2 linked regions of the Notamacropus eugenii genome follow. The protein of the gene in region 1 purifies or fractionates together with the protein of each later gene. This does not show direct contact. Links are inferred from orthologs where the notes say so. Each region holds a gene or a part of one and is shown on either strand. Other genes may lie near its edges.

Region 1 (12,009 bases):
AGAAAATTATGAATTAAAAAAAAGGAATGAAACCTGTTCTTCTTTCAATGACATTCTAAAACACTAGTGACGTGACTGAAATCCAAGACATCTGGGGCTCTAAAAATTCAGAAGAACAGAGCTGTGGTCCCCTAAACTAAAATTTTACAGATGAGAAAACTGAGGCTCTGGGAGGTAATGCAACTTGATCAAAATTACACAGGTGGTGAATGGCAGTCAGGAACTGAACCCAAGACCTGGGGCTTTTTCCATGAATTTTCAATGTCGAAGTCATTTAAGAAAGTAGAATAACCCTCAGAAGGAGACAGACAGAATTGGAAAGAGGCTGAAAGGGGATATCCTTGAAAAAACATTGTCAGGGGAATAAAAATGATCATCCATAAAGCCTCTTCCCAACCCCTTACCCAATGAATCCCCCAAACCCAATAACAGAATTTTATGCTTCAAATGCCATAAATACTTTGTTATGAAACTGAGGGAGCATAGGGAATAGGGAAATAGAAATCTTCTGAATGTAAGGGGCTGCCTGAATTCATCCCCAAAAAAGATAATTTCTTACAGATTTCTTTCCTTTACCCAACAAGTATTTGTTGCTAATAATGCTTGATTTCTTAACTAAACCCACTCCAATGACCCACTGTGGAACAAATATAACCCTAGGTTCTTAAAGGCTAAACTAGCAGAGTTGCATCTCTGAAAAGGTCTTCCAAGACAGAAGTACTAGACCGTATAGCTGTGATGTGAGGACCAATCTAGTGAAATTCAAAGAGTCTACTTGCTAAAGGGCTGACCAGTAGCTGATAAGTTGTTTTTAACCACAGAAACTCATCAAACTATATTTCAAGACATGGAAGAATTGGGATCTACACCAGTGGAAGATGAACCCATACTGATAAAAGCAAATCCTTAAAATAATGATTTATATTGTTGTCTGTTGTTATTAGGATTATATTCTATAAAAAATAAATTCCACCTAAAAAGGGCATTTTCTTATGCCTTCAGTTGGCATGTTACAATCACTAGTGATGAGCACATCTCTCAAGCTGTGTCTTGAGAGAATCTGTTATTAAAATTTTATTGCTCTCTTTTTTAAATATTGCCTTAATTTCAAAACATATTCCTCTTCCCTCCTCCTCACAACAAGCCACTCCTTCAAAAGACAAAGAGACAACAAAAAAGAAAAAAATCAGTTCAGTAAAAATAACCAATACACAAACCAAGTACTAAATGACAGCATATAAAATGCTCCATACTCTAACTCAGCAACAAAGGAAAGGAGGCATATTTTCACACCTCTTCTTTGAGGAAAAAAGTATGAGCCTCATAATTATACAGAGCTCATTTTCTTTGCTGTTGATGTTTCCATTTATATTGCTGCAGTCCCCGAGTATATACTGTTTTTCTGATTTTGCAAACTTCACTCTGTATCAAGTCCTACAAATCTTCCCATCCTTCTCTACATTCTTCATAATCATCAAAGAAATCCCATTGCTTTTTAAAAATCAAGACTTACAGGAAATAATGCAAAGTGCAATGAGCAGAACCAGGAGAACACTGCACACAGTAAAAGGAATACTGTATGATGATCGACTGAATGCCTTAGCTCTTCTCAGAAATGCAACGATCTAAGACAATTTCAAAGAACTCATGATGAAAAATCCCATCCACATCTAGAGAAAAGACTGATGGAGTCTGAATACAGATCAAAGCATTTTATTTTTCATTTTCTTCATTTTTTTGTGGGGTTTTTTTGGTCTTCTTTTATAACATGATTAATATGGAAATATGTTTTGCATGATTGCACATATATAACCTATATCAAATTGCTTACTATCTCAGGAAGGGGGAGGAAAGGAAAGTAGGGAGAGAATTTCGAAGTCAAAATATTTAAAAGATGAATGTTAAAAACTGTCTTTACATTTAATTAGGGGAAAATAAAAATATAGATATATTTTTAAATCAAGGTTTAGAAAGATTTTTTTTAAAAAAACACACCTAAGAACTAGAAACAGGAACAAAAAGAAATGAATACTGCATAATTCTAATGACCAAGGTTGGCTATAGAGAAGACTTGAGAAAGTGCACCTTTGTCCCTTCATTTCCAAGGTGGGGTACTATGGATATGGAATGGTGCATGTACTGTCTGTATTGAAACATTAGTTGGTTTTACTGATTCATGGTTTTTTCCATTCTTTTAAAATATTTGTTACAAGGATTGATTAATTGGATGGAGGTGGGGGAAGAATAGTTTCAGAAATAAATGTGATGTAAAAACAAAAGACACCAATAAAAATAAGAAAATTGCTATAAGAAAGAAAAAAGGGGAAAAAAAAAATCAAGCTCTTGGATGACCATCCTAGCTTCATACTCTGGCACTTTTCTGTATCATTTTCTACTAATTCCAGAATAAGGGTGTCTTATCACTGCCTTACTGGGCAATAAACAGAAACCTGTATGATTTTAATCTAGTTTGATGCATTTCAAGCAGTTTCAGAATCACAAAAGGCCTTTACAAGTAGAGTCACAAGGTTTCCACCCCTGCCATCATCTGTGTGACCTACATGCCACCGAGAGTCCCCTGAGGTCATACTTACTACTGAAGGAGCCCAATCTGTCCATTCCCACACTGAGAGAGGTTACAGCTTTGATTGTCTTCCTCAAAGCCTGATCCCAGCACTGTCCAGCAAATCCCCAGGAATGTGTGGATCCCTAGAAATAGACAAAGTCAATGAAGGATACACAGGTGAGGGAAAGAATGGCAAGGATGACAAAGTGCTGGAGGGAAATGGAATGAGCACAGGACTTAAAGAACCAGAAGACCTAGGCTCCAGTTCCAGTTCTGCCAATGAATATTAGCAAGTCACTGTATTTATTTTACGTGTACTTATATCTGGTCACATTGTCTCCCTGATAGAATACAAATCCTTTAGTATAAGAACTATATGATTTTTGGTTTTGTATTCTGAGCACCTAGTACCTGACATAGAGCAGGTGCTTAATAAATGTTGTTTAGTCATTTCTGACTCTTTGTGACCCCTTTTGAGGTTTTCTTGGCACAGATACTGGAAATGGTTTGCCATTTCCTTTTCTAGCTCATTTTATAGATGAGGAACCTGAAGCAAACAGGATTAAGTAACTTGCCTAGGGTCACACAGGTATCTGAGGCCAGATTTAAACCCATGAGGATAGTCTTCCTGATTCCAAGGCCAATGTTTTATCTACTGCATTGCCTAACTGCCCTAATAAATGTTAGTTGATTTGATTGACATCTCTCTCAGCCTCAGTTTCAGCACCTATCAATGGGAGTAATAATTGTTTTCACTAGACTCACTGGGTTGTTCTGAGAAAAACTCATTCTGTAAAATGCTAGGTAAGTGTGAGCTGTTATCACCTTGGTTCTTTGAAGGTGAAAATGGAAGCAAAAGCCAGACATTACCTTCCACTGACAGTGGACTGGCTTTTAGACTCCAAGAATCATTTGGTTGACCCTGATGTTTTCTCAGTGGAAGGGAATTATTCACCAGTAAATACAGACAACACCCATATAATTCCACCGAAAAAGAACTAATTGGGGAGCAATCCATCAGAGAAAAGGAGAAGAGAGATGCAAACTTCTCTCCAGAATCGAACAACATGGGTCCCAGTCTGCTCTTTCATATTTTGATCACATTGTACTCCTTCATACACCCTCTATTCCAGCCAGACTAGCTTATATCCTCTTTATAGGACTAGCCATGTACTAATCATCTCCCACCTCTGAGTCTTTACCTAGGCTGTAACCCTTTCTCTTGGAATGTATTTATTTCCTACCTCCCACACTTAGATCTTGTGCTTCCTTCAAGATTCAGCTCAGGGTACCCGTCTACATGAAACCTTTCCTCATTCTCCTTATTTCATTGGTCACTGCTCCTTGTCCCACCCCCAATTAAGAGTATTTACTTATCTGTGTAAATGTCTACAATAGAATGTAATATCCTTGAGGGCAAAAATTTTTGTTTGTTTGTTTTTTAGCCTTATATCTTCACCTCCTAACATAGGAAGCATGTAATACATGCATCTGTGGCACAGGCATGTAATTACGTATATTGATTGAACTGATTTAATCGATTTCCAGGAGGGGTGGGTCTTCAAAAGTAAATATGTGCACAAACTGATTGACTGATTATCAACCAACCCAACAACTAAATGGAGAACTATCTGGTTTGGATTCTGCTCCTTCTATATCCAGAGTTCTTAACCTGGAGTCTGGAGCTTTATTTTTTAATTGATAAATTGTATTCCAATATCATTGGTTTCCTTTGTAATCCTATGTAACTTATTTTGTGCATTTAAAAACATGATTCTGAGAAGACTTCACCAAATTCTGCAAAAGGATTCCAGAACACAAGAAAGGTAAAGGACCTCAGATCAAGGGATGAGCAGAGTAAGATGTGTTAACTACTGCAGCAGAGAAATCAGAGAGGCAGCAGCTCTCCATCACCCCAGGTGGCCAGATATCAGAGGGACTCTTACTCATGAAGGACCAGAGACATGACGTAACAACTCCACAGGAGAGCACAGGATTCAGCTGGAAGGGACTTTAGAGGGCATCCTCTAACTCCAACTCCTCAAGCCACAAATCACAAGATCAAGCCCCTCCAAAAGTGGGAAAGGTCATAGACAGTGAGCAGAACTGAGATTCAAACCCTAGTCCTCTAATATCAAATTCAGTGCTCTTTCCACCATTGTCAGTGGGAGTCAAATTAAAAGTGAGAGGTCCACTAAACAGTACATGATAACATCTATATTTTACTGTACTTTTGTTAACTATCTGGTTCGGGCAATTCAGGAGTCTAGCAGGCAGCATGTTTGACACCTCTGCCCTACTTGAGGCCATGAAAAGGCAGGAAAATGGTCAGGTTCAAGGAAACATTTAATCAAATTCAACCGGATTCCTGAGAAGTGTGACTAGAGCACCAGACTTGGAATTCCAGAAATGAGTTCATATCCTACCCAAGACACATGCTAGCTGGGTGACCATGGACAATTCACTTACCATTCCCAAGCCTCAGTTTCCTCATGTGCACCACATACCCAGAAGGGCTATATTGTTGTACAATATACGTAAAACTGAAAAGTACTTCACAAACCTTAAAATCCACATTTCTTTTGGTTGCATCACACTTTCCATGACCTTGCTTGGGGTTTTCTTGGCAAAGATAGTGAAGTGGTTTACCATTTCCTTCTCCTGCTCATTTTACAGATGAGGAAACTGAGGCAGACAGTGGTTAAGTGACTCGCCTAGGGTCACACAACTCCTAAGTGTCTGAGGCTGGATTTGAACTCGGGAAGATCTGGTTCCTGGTGCCTGAAATCTACCCCCTCTAATAAAGGGTTAGTAATTGCTACTGTAGCAGCCAGGTAGCACAGCAGCCAGAGCGCCAACCTGCCTCCAACATGTCCTAGCTATGAGACCCTGGACAAGTCACTTAACCTGTTTGCCTCAGTTTCCTCATCACCTCCCGGCGTTGCTGTATCCAATGAGAAATCACTGGTAAAACATTTTTACAAACCATAACGCATCGTACAGTTATTACCATAAACTTAAAAGACCACAGAATTGGAGCAGTACAGGTGTTTTTCCCTCGCTCTGCTACGGGGTCCAGGCAGAATGGCCGCCCCCACTCCGCAGATGGAAAAGCTGAGGCCGCGGGGGGGAGCCGCAGGGGCAAGGCTGCAGAGGGGAGGGGCTGCCGGCGGAGGTCAGCGGGGTCACGTGCGCCGTTCCCCCAGGCCTCACGCGCTAGCTCGCGCCCATCTGCCCCGCCCCCCTCCGCTTCACTCCCGCCGGCGCGGCGGCAGCGTGACCACGCGTGCCTCCCCGATCACTCCTCTACGTCGGCCTTGACGCCAGCCTCGGCCCGGGCCCCCGCGCGCCGGCTCGCCTGGGAACGCCAGCTCCCTCCCCTCCTGCCCCCGCCTCCGGGCCCCCGCGCCCCACCCCCTGCCCCTCGGCCCCGCGGCCGGCCACCTCACCTCGCCGCTTCCCCCTCCTCCAGGGCCAGGAAGTCCAGAGCCGTTCGCGCGCACGCAGGCGTGTGCAGGCGAGGAATGCGCGCGCGCCTATGGCCCCTCCCCGCGCTGCTCCGCCGAGCATGCGCACTTCCGCGGCCTTGGGCGCGCTGCTGGAGTGACTACCCGGTGTGCAGGTGCTTTTAATGAGGCTCACCCTACAGATCGGGCAGAAATCGCTTGCCACGTGCAGCCCCTACGCATTTACTAAGCACCTCCTGTGAGTCGGGCAAGCGCTGTGCCAGGCTCTAAGGCTATGATGACAGGATATTCCACCTCCACACTCCGGGCTATTATTCACGTCTTGTCTCTCGTGCCAGGTGTGCTCTTTCTTGTCTCCGTCTTGTGGCTTCCCTGACTTTCTTAAAGTCTCAGCCAAAGTCCTGCCATCCGCCAGGGCCCTTCCCCGCCCTCTCTAATCTTACGTTAAGACTTTCTGTGGAATCTTCTAAATCCATCTTCATCGCCCTTCCCTTGGCTATTTCCGGTTCGTCTGGTCCTCCTCGCTTGCGGGTGGTCTCTCCCCTTGGGGTGAAGCCGCCCCTTGAGCGGCGGGACTGTCTCTTTGTGTTGCCGGTGCTTGGGGCAGCGCCCTGCGCTCAGGAGGCCCTTAACGCGTGGGTTACTTTGGTTTGGAGCAGCCCCGTTCCGAAAGGAGGTTACGTTATCCTGGGCTCAGGGCAGTACAAAATGTATTCACGCAATTTCCAGAGGAAGAGAGACGCTGGGGAGACCAAGGAAAGTCCAATCCAGAGGTCTAAACTAGAAGTCCTTGAGGGGAGCTCCAGGTGTGCTTGGATTCCGTTGGTTAAGCGCCTCGTGGGTGCTAGGAGCTGTGCTAAGCGCTTCCGTCCTGCTGGCTGACAGCTTTGTGACCTTGGGCGCACCTGGGCGGGCTCCTAGGTCCCTTCCAAAGCGCACTTTCTGTAGTCCTGGGTCATTTATTTACCCTCTCCGGACCTCGGTGGTTTCGTCTCTAAACCAAGGATAATAAATATATCATCTTTCCCATTGGAAATAGTTGGTCCTTAAAATGATCAACAATTGGGGGTTACCAGTGTTCTGATTACTAATAGAAGCCTTAAAAGGGTTGGGATGTGGGAGAAAGTAATTGCCCTCCTTGGAATCCCTAAAGATAGGGCTCTCCCAATTTTAATTAGTTATTTATAGTTCAGAGAATTTAGAGCTGGAAAGGCATCACCTGACTCAAGGAAATCATTTTATAAATAAGGGAATTGAAGCTGAAAGAGGAGAACGTCCCAGGTCACAGATGTCAGATACAGGATTAGAACCCAAGTCTTCTTGACTAAAATTTAGGATTCTTGACGCTATGGCATTCAGACTAGCTCTTTATGTCACTAATTTATTCACTCCCTTAAAAAATTTTTTTTTTCTATTGTACATACATACTGAGTCAAGTTTATGGCTCTCCGTGTATAGTAGTTCTTCCTTAATTAGATGTTTACTAAGAGCTGATCCATTCTTTTTTAACAATATTCTCCTCTCACAAGCAAAAGACTCATTAGTGGAGGGATAAAGAGGAGAGGTGAGAGAAAAACATGAAGTCTACTCTCATCACATTCCACTAAAGGAAAGAATAAAATGCACACTCATTTTGGTAGGAAAACCTATCTCACAATACAGGAAAGTGGGGGACAAGGGGACAAGCAGGGTGGGGGGGATGATAGAAGGGAGGGCATGGGGAGAAGAATGCAATTCGAGGTCGACACTCATGGGGAGGGATAGGATCAAAAGAGAATAGAAGTAATGGGGGACAGGATAGGATGGAGGGAAATATAGTTAGTCCTATACAACACAACTAGTATGGAAATCATTTGCAAAACTACACAGATTTGGCCTATATTGAATTGCTTGCCTTCCAAAGGGAAGGGGTGGAGAGGGAGGGAGGTAAAGAAGTTGGAACTCAAAGTGTTAGGATCAACTGTAATGTTCTTACCACTAGGAAATAAGAAATACAGGTAAAGGGGTAAAGAAAGCTATCTGGCCCTACAGGACAAAAGAGAAGATGGAGACAAGGGCAGAGAGGGATGATAGAAGAAAGAGTAGATTGGTCACAGGGGCAATTAGAATGCTTGGGTTTGGGGGGGGAGGGGACAAAAGGGGAGAAAATTTGTAACCCAAAATTTTGTGAAAATGAATGTTAAAAATTAAATAAATTAATTAATTAAAAAATATATATATTCTCCTCTCAGTGCCATATGGCAGTCAATTCTGGAACACAGAAATCACAGAAAAAATCAAACTGATAGACCCCTCAAAGGAAAATGAAGAAAGATGTAGCCGACCTGATGATTAAGATGGCTTATGTTAATTACCAAAGATGACTTGTATACAGGAAGTAGCATAAAAAACATCATGGAGGAAGTCAGAAAAGGATATCAGTCTTGTAGAGCAATCTGTCAAGAAACATTCATCAAGTGCTTTTACCTGTTCAAGTACTATACTAACTGGGGCAGCTAGGTGGTGCAGTGGATAGAGCACCAGTGCAGGAGTCAGGAGGACCTGAGTTCAAATGTCACCTCAGACATTTGACACTCACTGGCTGTGAAATAGCAGGAAATTCTGGGAAATAGTGTCTGTAATGTGTTTAGCTATTCAAGGAAGAATTAGTTGTTGGGGAGGGAAGGAAAGGGACAGCAGTTGTTGTGCAGTGTTACCATTAGAAAGTCTAGCAGTCCATATGCTTTACCTAAAGCAGTACAGGAGAAGAATAGGAAAATACGAATAAATGTAAAGTACTGGTCATTGAACAAGAAAATTAAAGTGGACCAGTATGCCATGCCAAGAGAAAGGAAGGAAAAGAAGCATAGTAGCACACCTACTGTGGGCCAGGCAGTTTGCTAAGAGCTTTATAAATATCTCATTTGATCATCACAACCACCCTTGGAGATAAGTGCTGCTGTTATCCCCATTGCACAGTTGAGGAAACTGAGGCAAGCAAAGATTAAGTGACTTGCTCAGGATCACACAACTAGTCACTAAGGTCAGATTTGAACTTGGGTCTCCCTGACTCTAGGTCCAGCATTCTGACCATTGTGCCACCTTCTCCTTTGGATTGTTTGCTAGGCAGTCAGTGCTTGGACTTACAGAGTAGTTACCTGTAAGGCCAAGCAGTAGAATCTTTTGCTGTTTTTGTTTTGCTAAAAGTGCTTCTGATTGAAAAATGTGATTAAAGAATATCTTCCTCACACATTGATAGGTCTGCCCATTGAGGGAAACTTAAGCTGATTTGTAGGAGGGTCCCAAGTACCTTTTGTTTTTTCTGTTGAGGCACTGGGTCAGAGGGTCATGCCCTCTGGTTCTGAGAAGTGTATAACTGCTCCGAGGGTGAGCTTTTACTTTGGGGCTTACCTACTGGAAGTGTTTGTTTGGCCAGAGGAGGACTCTCGGAAGCCACTAAGAAGCCCCCTGGCTTGGAAAACCCAGATGTTGGTGCTTCCTTCTCTGGTAACTATGGTTTTCTTTGGCAATGAAGGACGAACACACACATAACTATGGTCAGACAGTTGGACCTGTTTGTAGAATAGTAATGTGTGTATTGATTATGGACAGACAGAGGAAGCCATGTCTGTTATCTTTGATTTCTCTGTATTTTCTCTGAAGTTCAGGGTGCTGACTTTTCCCCTGAACTAACTGAATGATACATGTGCTTGATTAAAGTGATTTTTAACCCCTCAAAAGTTGCCTTTCCTTTTATAAATGCTGATCTAAGAACCTGTGATAGCAGGTCCCCCTGTGTATGTTGGGGTGCTTACTATTACAGTACCATCAGTTCCCTGGGGCAGATGAAGACAAAGAGAAGGCAGCATTTATCCTCTCAGCTAGATTTTAAACAATTTGAGAATATCCTCATTCCCCCTCTCCTTCTTATTTGCCCCTACTCCAGGCATCTCTGGGATTATGTGCTACTTCACAATGGCAAATGAAAAAAGACATTGGAGACATAAACTACATGGAAGCATTGCGGGACCTAGGTGATTGCTGTGAGCTCAGTAGGCACTATCAGCCAGGGGAGGCTAACATAGGTGTACCAAAGATAATGAGATACTAATGGTGATGGTGATACTCCTGAAAGGAGGGAAAGCTAGCTATTTGTGTTACTTATTTGTTTTGGGCTGCTCCAGGATGGACGTACACCTTCCATTTGGTAGGTCAGATTTGAACCCAGAGGATGCTAGTGGCATACATGAAACTTGTTTTATTTAGTCAGACAGTTATATAGCACTTTCAGGTAGGAGAAGTCTTTACAGTCATCCTGGGAAATAGGTAGCATGACCTCCCTTTTTTTAGAGTCAGAGGGCAGTGGGTATGGAACATCACATATCTTGTTTTACCTGGTTTAGTTTGGTTGAAGTGGATAAAGAGTCAGGAACATCTGAGATCAAATCCAGCCTCAGACACTTGCTAGCTACGTGTTCCTGAACAGGTTACTTAATTAATATCTCATAGCTTCAGTTTCCTTATCTGTAAAACAGGGATAATAATGGCACCTACTTCCTGGGATTGTTCTGAGGATTAAATGAGATCACATTTGTAAAGCACTTTGTAAAACCTTAAAACTCTACACAAATGTAAATTATTATAACTACAAGTGTAGTTACTCTTCACTGCATAAAGGGAAAGAAGGAAGAATATATTTGGAGATAAAGGTAATGTTAAAAAATCAATTGAAAATAAGAATAATTAGATGGTGCAAGTAGTAATATACACATTTTCCAGCTGAGGAAAATGAGGTTTCAAGAGGTTAATCGACTTGTCCAGGGTCACACAGCTAGAAAGTGTTTGATGTGGAATTCAGATTCAGGATTCTGAATGCCAAATCCATGTTGCTCCCAACTTTTCTGGAAAGTAGTAAGCTCATAAACAAAGGCTTGTTGGGCAGCAGTGAGGACTCAATTGAGGTTAGCCTAGCACAGTTTGTTCTAGAGCCACTCAGAGTGATTTTGTGGTTTTTTTCCTACTAGCATTGTTGACTAGGGAATAAGGATGAAGAAAATAAATGGGGGTAGTTACCCACAGTTGAGGATTAATGGAGCTGGAATGTTGGAAGGACAGGGTCCAGGGGAAGAGGAGGCATGGCATAATGGAAATAACACTAGACTCAGAGTTGAAAGAGCCTTTTTCAAATCTAGACTCTGCCACTTTCTACTTGTAGAACTGTGAAGTAAGTCATTTAACCTATATGAACCTCAGTTACTTTATCTGTAAAATCAAGGGACTGGACTAGATGATAAAAAATTTTTTATTTTAAAATTAAACACATCCAAAAGGATCATTTCTGTTCTAACTGAAAGGTGGAAGGAAACTCTGTGGAAGTGTGAGTCTCCATTTCACACTGCTTATCTTGACTCAATTTCTGAATCAGAACTCTATCGTTAATATCCTATGAATTTGGATCCAGAAATGTAGGACAAAATGATGTTGAAAAGATAGACAAATGGGGAAGACTGGGTAAGAAGTGGAACCCAGCCAGAGGTGACAGAGAAAAGGGAGGAACCAAAAGACCAGAACTCGTAATAAGAATGAAGAGAAGGTTTAGAACATGAAAGGCAGCAGACTGTAATCAGAAAATAAGAATTTCAAAATTTTAGATCTTAGAAAGGGAGTAGTTTTGAGTTGTGATATGGGTTGAGGTATGCTGCTTTAGGGGCTTTAGTGGAGTGAATGGAGTTCATAGTTGTTGAGGAAGTCTCCCAAAGATAAATGATCAAAATATACGAACAAACATTTTTCAAAAGAAGTACTGCAAAGTATTCACAGACACATGAAAAAATGTTCTAAATTGCTAATAATAAGAGAAATGCAAATCAAAACAACCTTGAGATTTTATCTTACACCCTGCAAATTGGCAAAAATGATCCAAAAAGGCAATAGTCAATGTTGGAAGGATTGTAGAAAAATAGGCACTCTAATACATTGTTAGTGAAGTTGTGAAAT
Region 2 (11,884 bases), about 160 Mb from region 1:
ACCAACAATGAATTAGTGTTCCAACTCTCCTACATCTTCTCCAACATTTATCATCATCCTGTTTTGTCATGTTAGCTAATCTGATAGGTGTGATGTGGTATCTCAGAGTTGTTTTGATTTGCTTCTCTCTAATTAATAGCAATTTAGAGTATTTTTTTCATATGACTATAGATAGCTTTAATTTCTTCCTCTGAAAACTGCCTGTTCATATCCTTTGACCATTTATCAATTGGGGTGGGCCATCTCTTATTATCTCTTCTTGCAGGGTTTTGTTGGTGATCTATAGAAATGTTGACAATTTATGTGAGTTTATTTTATATCCTGCTACTTTGCAAAAATTATTGTTTCAACTAGCTTTTTAGTTGAATCTCTATGACAGGGATGGGGAACCTGCAGCCTCAAGGCCACATATGGCCCTCTAAGTCCTCAAGTGTGGCCCTTTGACTGAATCCACACTTCACAGAACAAATCCCCCTTGATAAAAAGATTTGTTCTGCAAAACTTGGAGTCAGTGAAAAGGTCATACCCAAAGACTCAGAGGGCCACATGTGGCCTTGAGGCCACAGGTTCCCCACCCCTACTCTAGGATTTTCCAAGTATATCCTCTTATCTTTTGCCAAAAGAGATAGTTTTATTACTTCATTGCCCATTTGGAGTCCTTCAATTTATTTTTCTTCTCATCATTATTGCTAGAATTTTGATACAATATTGAGTAATATTGGTGATAATGGGCATCTTTATTTTACCCCTGATCCTACTGGGAAGGCTTCTAGCTTATTTCTGTTACAAATAATGCTTGCTGATGATGTCAGATAGATGCTTCTTCTCATTTTATGGAAAAACCCATTTAAATCTATAGACTTTCAAGTGTTTTTAATAGGTACGAGTGTTGGAGTTTGTCAAAAGCTTTTTTTCTGCGTCTACTGATATAATCACATGATCTTTGTTACTTTTGTTATTGCTATAATCCATTATGTTAATAGTTTTCCTTAGATTAAATCATTCCTGCATTCTTGTTATCAATTCCACTAGGTCATATTGTGTAATCTTTGGGACATACTGTATTTTCCTAGCTCAGGGAGGGGGAACCTGCCTTGAGGTCATAACTAGTGTTTTATTTAGGATTTTTGCTTCCATATTTACTAGTGAAATTGGCCTTCCATTTTCTTTCTCGATTTTTGTTCTTGGTATCGCTGCCATATTTATTTCCTAAAGGGAGTTTGGGAGGACTCCTTTACTAATTTTTTCAAATAAAATATTGGAGTTAGTTGATCTCTAAATGCTTGGTAGAATTTCCTCATAAATATATCTAGTCTTGATGTTTTTTTCTTAGGAAGCTCATTTATGTCCTATTCAGGTTCTTTTTCTAAAAGTTTTATTTAATATACTATTTTCTCTTCTGTTCATCTGGGCAGTTCATATTTCTTGCAAGTATTCTTCCATTTCATTTAAATTCATAAAATCCACTTAATTCACAATTAAAATCACTTAAATTCACAATAAATTTATTGTCATATAATTGGGCAAAAAACTCCTAATAATTGTTTTGATTGTATCTTCATTTGTGGTATATTCACTCCTTCCATTTTTGATACTAGTGATTTGATTTTCTTTACTTTTAAAAATCATATTAACCAATGATTTATCTATTTTATTGTTTTTTCCCCCATCAAACCAACTCCTAGCTTTGTTTGTTAATTCAATGATCTTCTTATATTCAGTTCCTTACATCTCATCTTTAATTTTTAGAATTTCCAGTTTGGTATTTAATCGGGGATTTTAAATTTCTTCTTTTTCTTGATTTTAAAAGTGTATACCCAATTCATTGTTCTCTTCTCTCTATTTTACTGATGCAAACATTTAGAGATATACATTTTCTACTGATTACAGCTTTTGTGGCATCCCACAGATATTGGTACATTGTCTCATTATTATCATTCTCTTTAATAACATTATTATTTCTATGACTTGTTCTTTAACCTACTCACTCTTTGAGATTAGGTAATTTAGTCTCCATCTTCCCAGAATCCTCTCCCTGGACTCCATTTCTGTGTTTTGTCCTCTCTATAGTCTCTACTAGGCTTCTCTCCCCCTCTGAAAAATAAATTTCTTCACTGAATATATATCCCAATATAATGCTACTCAGGGTCTCAGGTATTTGTACTCAGGTTTGTATATCACTAGTAATTTGCTAGTAGCATTATTATCAAATATTTGAAGCATTTAATATTATTAATGCCTTTATCAGATGGAACATAACATTTTCATTCTCTTATTGAACAACTCAAAAGAGCTGAATCAGCATATCTGATCACAAAGAGAACTTTGTCATAAGTTTAAAAATTATCAAAGGAGCCTACTTGACAAAATAAATCATGTTTGCCCCACTTTTTATAGATGAAATAATAGCATTTGTGTAGTACTTTACATTTTGCAAATACATTTACATATGTTATCTGTAGGTATCGTAGGTATCTCTATTTCATAGAACAGAAAGCTGAGACTTGAAATAAGATGCTAATGATCACAGAGTTATTAAATGTTGCAAGGGTAGCAGTCCAGGGCTCCCTTAGGCTGTGAGTTTTTAAACTGTAGCAATTGATTGGCACAAATCTATTTGTGTAGTAAGGAGTTGGAGGAAATAGTTACAGTTTGTGGTTGAAAATCAAATACAATGTATAAAGGAGCAAAAAGTATGAAATTACTTCTATGTAACAATCAACACAAGCTTTGCTACTTCTGTTAACAAAGAGGATGCATCGGGACACAGTTTATCCTTGTCTTATCAGAGATAGGATGATAGGGTTACAAGTTTCATTAAGTGTGTCTGCTGCAAAGCTGAAGGAGACAACCACAGGGGGCCTGAGCTCCAAGACTCCTGCTTCTGTCTCACTTTGGGTTAACACCTTGGCCTTTGAGAGGCCTTCATCTAGTGCCATTAGTAAATCAACTTGAACATCTTCTGGAAACAAAAGGGGAAATTTATTAAGTGCCTACTATGTGCCAGGCACCGTGCTAAGTGCTTCACAACAACTTGGAGAGGTAGGTGCTGTCATGGTCTCCATTTTTTAGCTGTTCAGTTGTTTCAGTCACGACCCCTTTTGGGGCTTTCTTGCCAGAGATCCTGGAGTAGTTTGCCATTTCCCTCTCCAGCTCATTTTACAGATGAGGAAACTGAGGCAAACAGGGTGAAGTGATTTACCAGGAGTCACCCAGCTCGAACACCAGCTCCAGTGCTCTGTGCCTGTGGGCCTGCCTAGGTAGGGGCCTCATAAGGAATTGGCCTTTTGTGACTCCACGTCCAGGTTCTGTGCACTGCTGTGTCCCCTTCCTGACTCCAGGTTCTGTGTTGTGTGCACCATGGCGCCCCCTTGAGGCCTCAAATTAGTCTTTCCTGACTCCGGGTCCTGGATGCCCAAGTCCCTGTAACGGAGGTACCAGTGTACAAAACTATCCTTTGTCTGTGAATGGGACCATATCAGTTCCATCTCTGTTCTTCTCTCATATTTTATTTTATCTTATTTTTGCATGACAGTCACTCCCAGCAACCCTCCCCTCTGCCCAGTGAGACTGCGAGTAACAGTTGGTTCAATACCTGTGACCCAGCATCTCTCTAGTTAAAGGACAGAAGAGTTTTCCACCCATAGTTTTCTGGAGTCAATATTAGACACTGCAGATAATCTGAATCCTGCCCATGTTGCTTTCATTCATGTTCCTGCAGTCATTGGGTTCTGCTTTATTGATTCTGACTCATTTCATGTAATTCTTCCCATGGCTCTTTCTCCAGATTCCTCATATCCCCAATTTTGCTCATTTCTTGCAGCATCATCCATTTATTGGAAGTTGTTAGGTCGAGCAGTGGGTGGAGTGCTGAGCCTGGATTCAATAATAATCCTAAAGGGTGCCTTGTAGTGTTTGGCACATAGTAGGCACTATATGTTAGCTATCACCATCATCATTATTAACATTATTATTTTCCCCCAGTCAGCTGGCCCCCTCTTTTCAAGGCCTTGCTGCTATCAAGGAGCAAATACTAGGACTATTTGAGTATGGGTGGATCCTTGATTTCCAGCACCTGCTTCCCTGGGGTATATGGAATGATGGCTCAGACATGAAGAGCTGAATCACTTTTCTCTAGACTGCTTGGACCAGATCCCAACTCCACCTTCAGTGCATTAGTTCACTTGTGGACTCTTCAACATTTGCTATTTCGGGGATTTTTTATCCTTCCCAATTGGATCTGTATATAGTGACCATGTAGGGTTATTGTACTTTGTGGTTTTTTTTTTTTTATTAGTGATTTGTAGTATTGTCCATCTCTTTTGATCCCATAGTGATTTAGGAATTCAATTCAAGATTCATTGAACCTGAACTGAGAACAGGTTCATGATAGGGCCTGGGGCTATGGAGACAAGGAACAATACTTATCTTCAAGAAGCTTACCTTCGGCTGGAGAAAACTCTGTAAATGCCACCCCCACCTCCCGACATACACTGGAAATACAAATGGCTTCTTTTTTGGAGGCGGGGGGAGGGAGCATCAACACTTAGACAAAAATCATTAAACTTCTCACATAAGGAGCAGCATTAGGGGAAAGGGGGGTGGTGCCCCAGAGAATGAAGGTGAGAACTGAGAGCATTCCAGACCCCATGGCAAGTTGGCCTATCAGATCATAAACAATTAGGAAGCACCTCCTATGTGTCAAGCACTGTGCTTTTTACATTCCAATGCAATTCTTAATAAAATTTCCCCACCAGACCACTAGTAAAATTCTAGCGTCAGTGATTTTACTGGTGGCAAAATCTTTTTAATTTTCTGCACCTCAAATTCACAATTTTTTTTTTTACTTTTTTGCTGGCTTTTCTCCTGTTTGGGTAAGAATTCTTCCCTACCCTCTGGTCTAAAAGGGAACACTGAATCCTTTCCATGTTCCCAGTTCTGCTGAATAGACAACTGTTCCCATGGACATTCAGTAACCCTCTCAACTAAGCAAAATATGAGAAAACATTTCAACTTGGCAGTAATTTTTTTTAGTAGTATTAAAGACACCTACCCACATCTCCACTTACTCACATGCCTGAAAAAAAACAAACTTCCAAACATCCAATACAAATCCCAGCGACACAGTGCTCGGCTACTTTGGGAAGGCTCCATTTCTGGAATCCTTGATTGGCTTTGGGGAGGGTGTGTTTGAATTTGTTCCTAGCGTAAGGCGCTGATCTTCGGTTTTAGGGAACGAGTTCTCAAGCTGGGGGATATTAATTCGTTTTTTAAAAAATTCTGTTAACTGTTCCTTACTGTCAATGATTTCCTTTATAATCCAAAGTATTTTATTTTATGCATTTAAACAACATTCTGAAGAGAGGACCAGGGGCTTCACCAACCAGCCTGTCGGGGAGAGGGGGGGCGGGATGTGAGCCCTGCTCTGGGTCCTGGGCATAGAGGCTGGGCCCACTCGTAGTACCTGCTGTCAAAGCAATACTGCGGAGTCCGGCCCCCAGTAAAGTAGACCCATTTGTGCGGTGTTTGGGCCAACTTGCTGGTCTGCAAAGCTCAGTTCGGAGGTTCTTCTGGGTTCTAAAGGCAGCGGTGCGGGTGCCGGGCTCGCGGGGCCGGAGCTGTCCACCGAGGCAGAGGCTGCTCCAGCTCTCCAGGTGATTACAAAGTAGCTGACAGGGAGGAAATGAGCGAGCCTGGGAAGTTACTTTGTATCTATTTCCCAGGCTGTTTCCCAGGTGACAGCGGCCAAGCTCTTCTCGGGGATCTTAAGCGATCGGAGGGGGAGCTGTTTTCATCCTGGGCAGGCATTTGAAAGGTGTTCTGGACCCAGTGCTACGAGGTGCTCTCTAAATGCCCTGCGGTAGAACGTAAGCTGCCCGAGGGGGGGTGAGGGCTCTTTTCTTTGGCATCCCCAATGCCAAAGTCACTTAATTTAAGGATAGGACTGAGTCTCTACCTGTGATTTTCATGGTCTTGGCAACAGCGCCGGGAACACAGCGGGCGCCTACTAAGATCTAGCCGACTGGACCCGCAGCGACAGCTGCTTCCCGTTATTATCATGATTATAAATTATTATGACCGCCATTATTAATCAGGTGAGGCTGGCGGGGAGGGCCGGGATTCGAACCCGCGGAGCCAGGAGGGGGGAAGGGAAAAGAGAAGAGGGGGGAGGAGGAGGAGAAGGGAGGGGCCGGAAGAAGGCGAGGGGGCGGCCGCGGGAAGTGGCAGAAGCGGGAGGCGGGCCCACTTGGAAGCGCCGCCGGGCGGGCGGGCGGGCTGGCGCACAGGGGCCGCGGGGAGGCGGCCGGCCGAGCTTCCGGGGGCGGCGGGGGTGGCCTCCCTCTCGGCCACGGGCCGCCCGCCGGCCGCTCTCTCCGGTCGGCTCGGCGGCGCCCGAGGTGAGCCCCGGGGCCGCTGGGGGCACGTGGCGGGCGGGGGAGTGCGAGGAAGGGAGGGGGAGGGGCTGCGGGACTCGGATTCTGCGGCGCGTTGGATCCCGGGAGGGGAGGGCGGAGGAGAGTGAAGAGGGGAGGGGGCCACGGCTGTGAGTGGCGATGCCCCCACGTGGGGCGGGGTGCGCGCGCACAAGCTTGCGCCGCCGCCGCCGCGCTCGGGGGCGGGGCGCCGGGCGCGCTCTCGGAGCTGGCTGGGCTGCGGCCCACGTGACACGCACGCGGGTCGCTGACGCTCACGTGACCGGTCTGGAGCCCGGTCGGTTTGACGTGAAACTTGGGGGTTGAAGTTCTCCTAAGCCTCCGCGCGGCCGAGTCGCGCGCATCCTGCCCCACTTCCCTCCCCAGACCCCGGCCGCGCGGCCCAGCCCCCGTCGCTGCCTCCCCCGTGGCGAGCAGTTCCCGTTCCGAAGACGTGCTCAGGAGGCCATGTTGGCCCCGACCCGGCCTCGCGAGACTCCCCGGGACTAGGCGGCCTCGCGAGACTGCGCGGCTCTCGCGGGAGGGGGCCGGCCGAAAGTGGGGCCCGGGACGGCGGCGCTGTTGGGGCTCCCGGGTCGGGGGAGCCTAGACTGCTCGGAGCAGGCAAGTGGCCGGGGTGCGGGTGGGGCCCTGGGCACGGCGACACCTCCCCGAGGGACTCCCCGCCCCCGCGGCGCCCTTTACCTGCGAGGGGGGGTAGCTCCTCCCACGTGCCCAGGAGCGCCAGTGGGCGCGGGTCCGAGGGGCTGCCTGCCTTTAGGTGGCGCCTGCTGGGTGCTGAGGTTGCCGGGGGCCGCGCGTGTCATGCCCTCGGAGTGTTGTCACCGCGTCCGGATGGAGAAACGGAGGCAGGCGGTCCGTCAGGGTCTGGGCCGGGAGCGCGTTTGGGTGCCCGTCGCCTGGGCGCGCTGGCAGGGCTGGCACGTGTTGGAGAAGGAACTTTTTCAAATTGGGGAACGCCCCGTGTTTGGGGTCCGCGCCCAGACCAATGGGACCTTGCCTTCTTTCATCCAGAAATGTAAGGTGAGGCCGCAGCTCCTCCTCATCCCTAGCCCTGCCCCCTGCCAACTGGCCCGGATCTGGTCTAGGGTGGGCACCCAGCTAACCAGGGAGACCCGATCCTGAGCCATAGATCCACCTCAGGAGTCTCTCGATCACTTTCAATTTGGCAACTCCTAATCATTTCTAAAGTGAAGAGCCGTTTCAAATGGTCTAATCCAATGTGGCTATTTGGGAATTTTAGGAAGTCTCAAGCTAGCCTGGCCTCCCCTCCCTTCTTCTTTCCTTTGTCTTTACATGTGTCTGAAGAATACAGTTCTTTTGTGGCTTGAAGCTTGCCCTTTCGGAGGAGAGCATGAATCTGTCTAGAAGCTTTTGAGTTCATCAGGTTCTTTAAAGTTGTTGGAAAAGTTGTAAAGTGTTGGCTGTATGTGTGTTCACCTGTGTAGGGACGTAGAACTATAGTTCTTAGCCATCATCGTGTCGTGAGTGCTCTTTTGGGAGGTTCCTCCCGAGTGGATATGCTTTTCTGAGACTTTGTATCCCAGACTGACATCTGAGGAAAGATAAGAGGTGTGGGAAACGTTGTAGAAACATTGGCCCCCGGTTACAGAGTAACTTAGGGATGGCGGCAGAGAGTAGAAGAGTCTGGTGGGAATTTGGAGGTGTGATTTCTGAAGCTGACTCGGCTTACCAGAAGAGATCCAGCTTCAGAAACCAAAATTAGAATATGCATGAGGTGATTTTTCTCCTTTTTTCCTAATGTTATAGAGATTTGTTTGCAAAAACTCCCCAACACTTCTGCAAAAAGTGACTAACTTGAGAGTTGTCCAAGTTTCGTGTAGGTTGTGTCCTGAAGCTGAACTTTTTTTTTTTTTAGAGACAATGCTAAATGTGAAACTTAGTTATAGATTAGCTTCTGGGAATGCCATTCAACCTTAATAGGCTTCCTCTGGTCTAGATGGACATGTATTTCACACCCTGTCAGAACTCTTTCAAGAAACATGCTCCTTTCCTTCAGAAGCTTTGCTTAGACATAATGCTGTTGGCTCAGGAGGAAGAATTTAGCCTGCTAAAGGTCACTGACTTCTTTTAGCAGAGTTATTTAAAAAAGATTATTTTTTTAAGTGTACTGTTGGAAGGGAAGGAGGAGCAGTGTGGTTTGTCTGGATTGAATTTCCATTGCTGTTTCCTATTGAAAGGACGCTTGGTGACTTGAAAAGATCGCTTGCTAGGCTGGACATTTATCTTACTGAGTTCTCCTGGGTCATTTTTCCAGAAGTTTTAAACCTCTTGGACTGGAAGACAAAGAACTGTATAAAAGTGGATAATCTGTATGGACTCTGTCCTGTTTTCTCCCCAGACTGAAAGCTGTGGTCATCGTTTTCCCTGATCTTCTACTTATGTCACTGCTACCAGCCAGTAGGTGAGGATCCTGCACTCTTCTCTAGGGCTTGCAGAGGTAGAGGGGGTTATGGTATCTTAGGGTTTAGAGGTAGAAGGAACCTCTGAGATGACTCCATTTATTCCAACCATGCATTTTTTGTTTGCAGAAACTGAGGCCTGGTGACTTATCCAAGGTCATAAAGTAACCGAGCCAGATTCTAGCCAGCTTTCTTGACTCCAGTGCTGTTTTTGTTATGGAAAGAATGAAGATTTTCTCTCCTCTTGTGAGCTTGAAGGAATTGGTCTCTTCTTACCTCTAAAGTTTGGAGGTGGCTGCTTGTAGGTGGTTCATTGCCACTCTCAGGGTCTCTGGATGTCACCTCTGTAGGAGGAGTGGAGGGAGACTAGCAGGGCTGGTTCAGTGCAGGTGTGAGACTCGAATTTAATCTGGTCGCCTTCCTTGCCAGGAAGTTAACCACTTGTGAAAATGTTTTCCAAAGAAGTTGAAAAAAGTGGGACTCAGCAGAATTAAAATGAATGTATTACTTCCTCAGCCTTAGAGTCAGGCAGCTGACTTAGAGAGGGTTTAACTCCCAGTGTCACAAGTATTACAGAAGTGATGGGTAGCTGGAAACCCAAGGACCTGTGCTGTGGTTCTCTTGTAAAAGATGCTCACTTGTCTTGAGTTTGATTTCCTATTGTAAGTGCTTACATATTCAGAGGTATTTTGTACTTTTTAAAGAGAATTTTAAAAAATTCTAACCACTTTTTTCTTGAAGTCAAATGAACCAGCTTTTATTAAGTACCTACTATGTGCCAGGCACTGAACTTAAGTGCTTCAGACACAAAGAAAGACAAAATAAGTCCGTTCTCAAGGAGTTCACAGTCTCATGGGTAAGAACGTACAAACAGCCACATACAAACAAGACAGACACACATGATCAATTGGAGATCATCTCAGAGGGAAGGCACAGAGATTAAGGAGGGCTGGCAGTGGTTTCTTGGAGAAGGCAGAGACTCAGGAAGCCAGGACAGGTTGCTGGGAGAGGGAACTCCAGTTCTGGGTCCCTCACCCTGAGGTCTTAGAAACCTCAGTGACTCTCAGAGCCCAGCCTGAGCGTGCTCTTCCACCCTTGAAATGACCTTTTACATATTTTGTATGAAAATGGCTGATGGACCTCTCCCTTGGCATTGGGCATGTCGTGCTGGAGTTGTTCTCTTGTTGGAGGAGCAGCCAGGAGGCAAGTGGCAGAGTATGTGGAAGGGGCAAGGCAGAGGCTTTTGTCTTTGATCTTGGAGGTGATGGGAGCCACTGGAGTTTATTGAGTGAGGGGGGAGGGTGACAGGGTCAGGCCTGTGCTTCATGGAAAACGGACTGGATCGGGGAGAGACTTTTTGACTTTTTGCCTGCTTGAGGCAGCTCTGTGGCCCTGTGACCTGGAGTCAAGGACACTTGAGCTTAAATCTGGCCTCTGACCTGGGCCTTAGTTTCCTCATCTGTAAAATGAGGATAATAAAAAATCACCTGCCTCCCAGGATTGATGTAAGGATTAAATGAGAGCTGTATAAAGCATGTAGCACAGTGTCTGTATATAAGAGGTCCTTTCCCCTTCCCTACTGAAGAAAGTCCAGAGGTGAGGTGATGTCGTTGTCAAAGGAGAGGTGGAATTCACACGGTTTGACCACTGGTGGCTGTGGGAGATGAATAAAGCATTTTCTAAATGCTTTGTGCAAAGAATTGTGCTAAGAATATAAATAGAAAAGTCAGGTCCTGCTTTCCAGGAGTGAGAATTCACATGTGGGAGCTACCACATAGGGAAGGTTTTAGCTGCAAATCAGGTTGGTTCTTAGAGTGCAGTGGCAAAGTGGGCATTGGTGCTGTATCTTTAATGCCATCTCTGGTGTTGGTCAGGGTCAGGGACTTTCTTTTCTGGGTCTGTATATCTGTGGCTATTGCACTTGTGGGAGCAGTTTGCTGGGCTGAGTCTCCACAGGGGTGGCATTCTTCAGATGACGGCTGTGGGTACTGGGCTGGAAGCCTTGCTCTTCTACAGGCTTCAGGGTCTTAGGAGGGATGATGGCCAGGATGATTGAGAGTGATTAGGGTACCTTCCTGCTTCATCTAAGCTGGTTTGCCTGCCCTGTGGGTAGCAGTTGAGAATGGTGACTGTCAGGGGTTGCCACTTCCAGGGTGCTGGGTAAATAGTGATGGTGAAGGAAGTGGGGTGATAGTGGTACTCTCCACAGTGATAGAGAAGTTAGGAAAGGGGGGAGATCTTACAGGGAAGGGGACTGAGCTCATTTTGGAAATGCTGAGTTTGAGGTATCTGAGATGTTTGGGTAAAGATAACTAACAGACTTTTGGAGGTCAGGAGGGAGGTTCAGGCCCATGGAATTATCAGAAGAGAGAAGAAAATTCAATCCAGGGGAACTGTTGATCGCTGAAGCAAAGAAGGTCCAGGTCAGAGCTGTGGGGGACACGCAGGACTAGTTTTTGAGTGTGACTCCATGATGGAGTGTGCAGAGCAGCAGAAGCACCAGAGAGAGCATTGTCAGGAAAACCAGAGGGAAGAGGAGACGGGGGATGAGGAATGCCGATGCAAGAGATGCTCTTGTCCTTCCTCATTAAATGGAGTATCTGAACCAGGGTGGGTGCAAGTCTGCACATTGCTGGGGGGGGGGCTGGGTTGAGAGGCTTGCATTGTAGCATCCCTTGAGGTGTTTGAAGAGGGGATTTGCTGGGAAGTCCAGAAGGGGAAGTGTGCACGGGTCAGGGCCAGCATTTACCTTCATGAGGGGGCTTCTCCCCTTCACCAGTGAGTAGTCATGTATTCTTGGCAGCCTCTATTTCCTCTAGTAGAGTGGAGGCTCCTTGAGCACAGAGACTTTTTTTATTTTTTGTTTTTAACTTCGGAGCTATGTACTTTTTTTTTTGAGTAGACATATGAATTTATAAAAGCATCATTAGTCAGGGACACACTGTGGCCTTACAGTGTCGTACAACAGTTGATGTGGAAATAACTGTATTATCTTGGTTAATCACTTAATCTAGCGATCACGACTTG

Evidence for each region.
Region 2: the proteins of TADA2A (region 1) and ZZZ3 purify together in Homo sapiens (affinity purification with mass spectrometry; 4 studies listed by BioGRID and IntAct, with this or other methods). This does not show direct contact. The link is inferred for Notamacropus eugenii from reciprocal best matches to the Homo sapiens genes TADA2A and ZZZ3.

What each region holds. Positions count from the first base shown.
Region 1 is NC_092873.1:376,157,208-376,169,216, reverse strand, and holds the start of TADA2A (transcriptional adapter 2-alpha), read right to left. Parts: upstream 5,785-12,009; 5' UTR 5,580-5,784; coding exon 5,577-5,579; intron 2,710-5,576; coding exon 2,595-2,709; intron 1-2,594. UniProt on the Homo sapiens protein: Component of the ATAC complex, a complex with histone acetyltransferase activity on histones H3 and H4. Required for the function of some acidic activation domains, which activate transcription from a distant site. Binds double-stranded DNA.
Region 2 is NC_092873.1:538,893,878-538,905,761, reverse strand, and holds the start of ZZZ3 (ZZ-type zinc finger-containing protein 3), read left to right. Parts: upstream 1-6,254; 5' UTR 6,255-6,398; intron 6,399-6,695; exon of another isoform or gene 6,696-7,037; intron 7,038-11,884.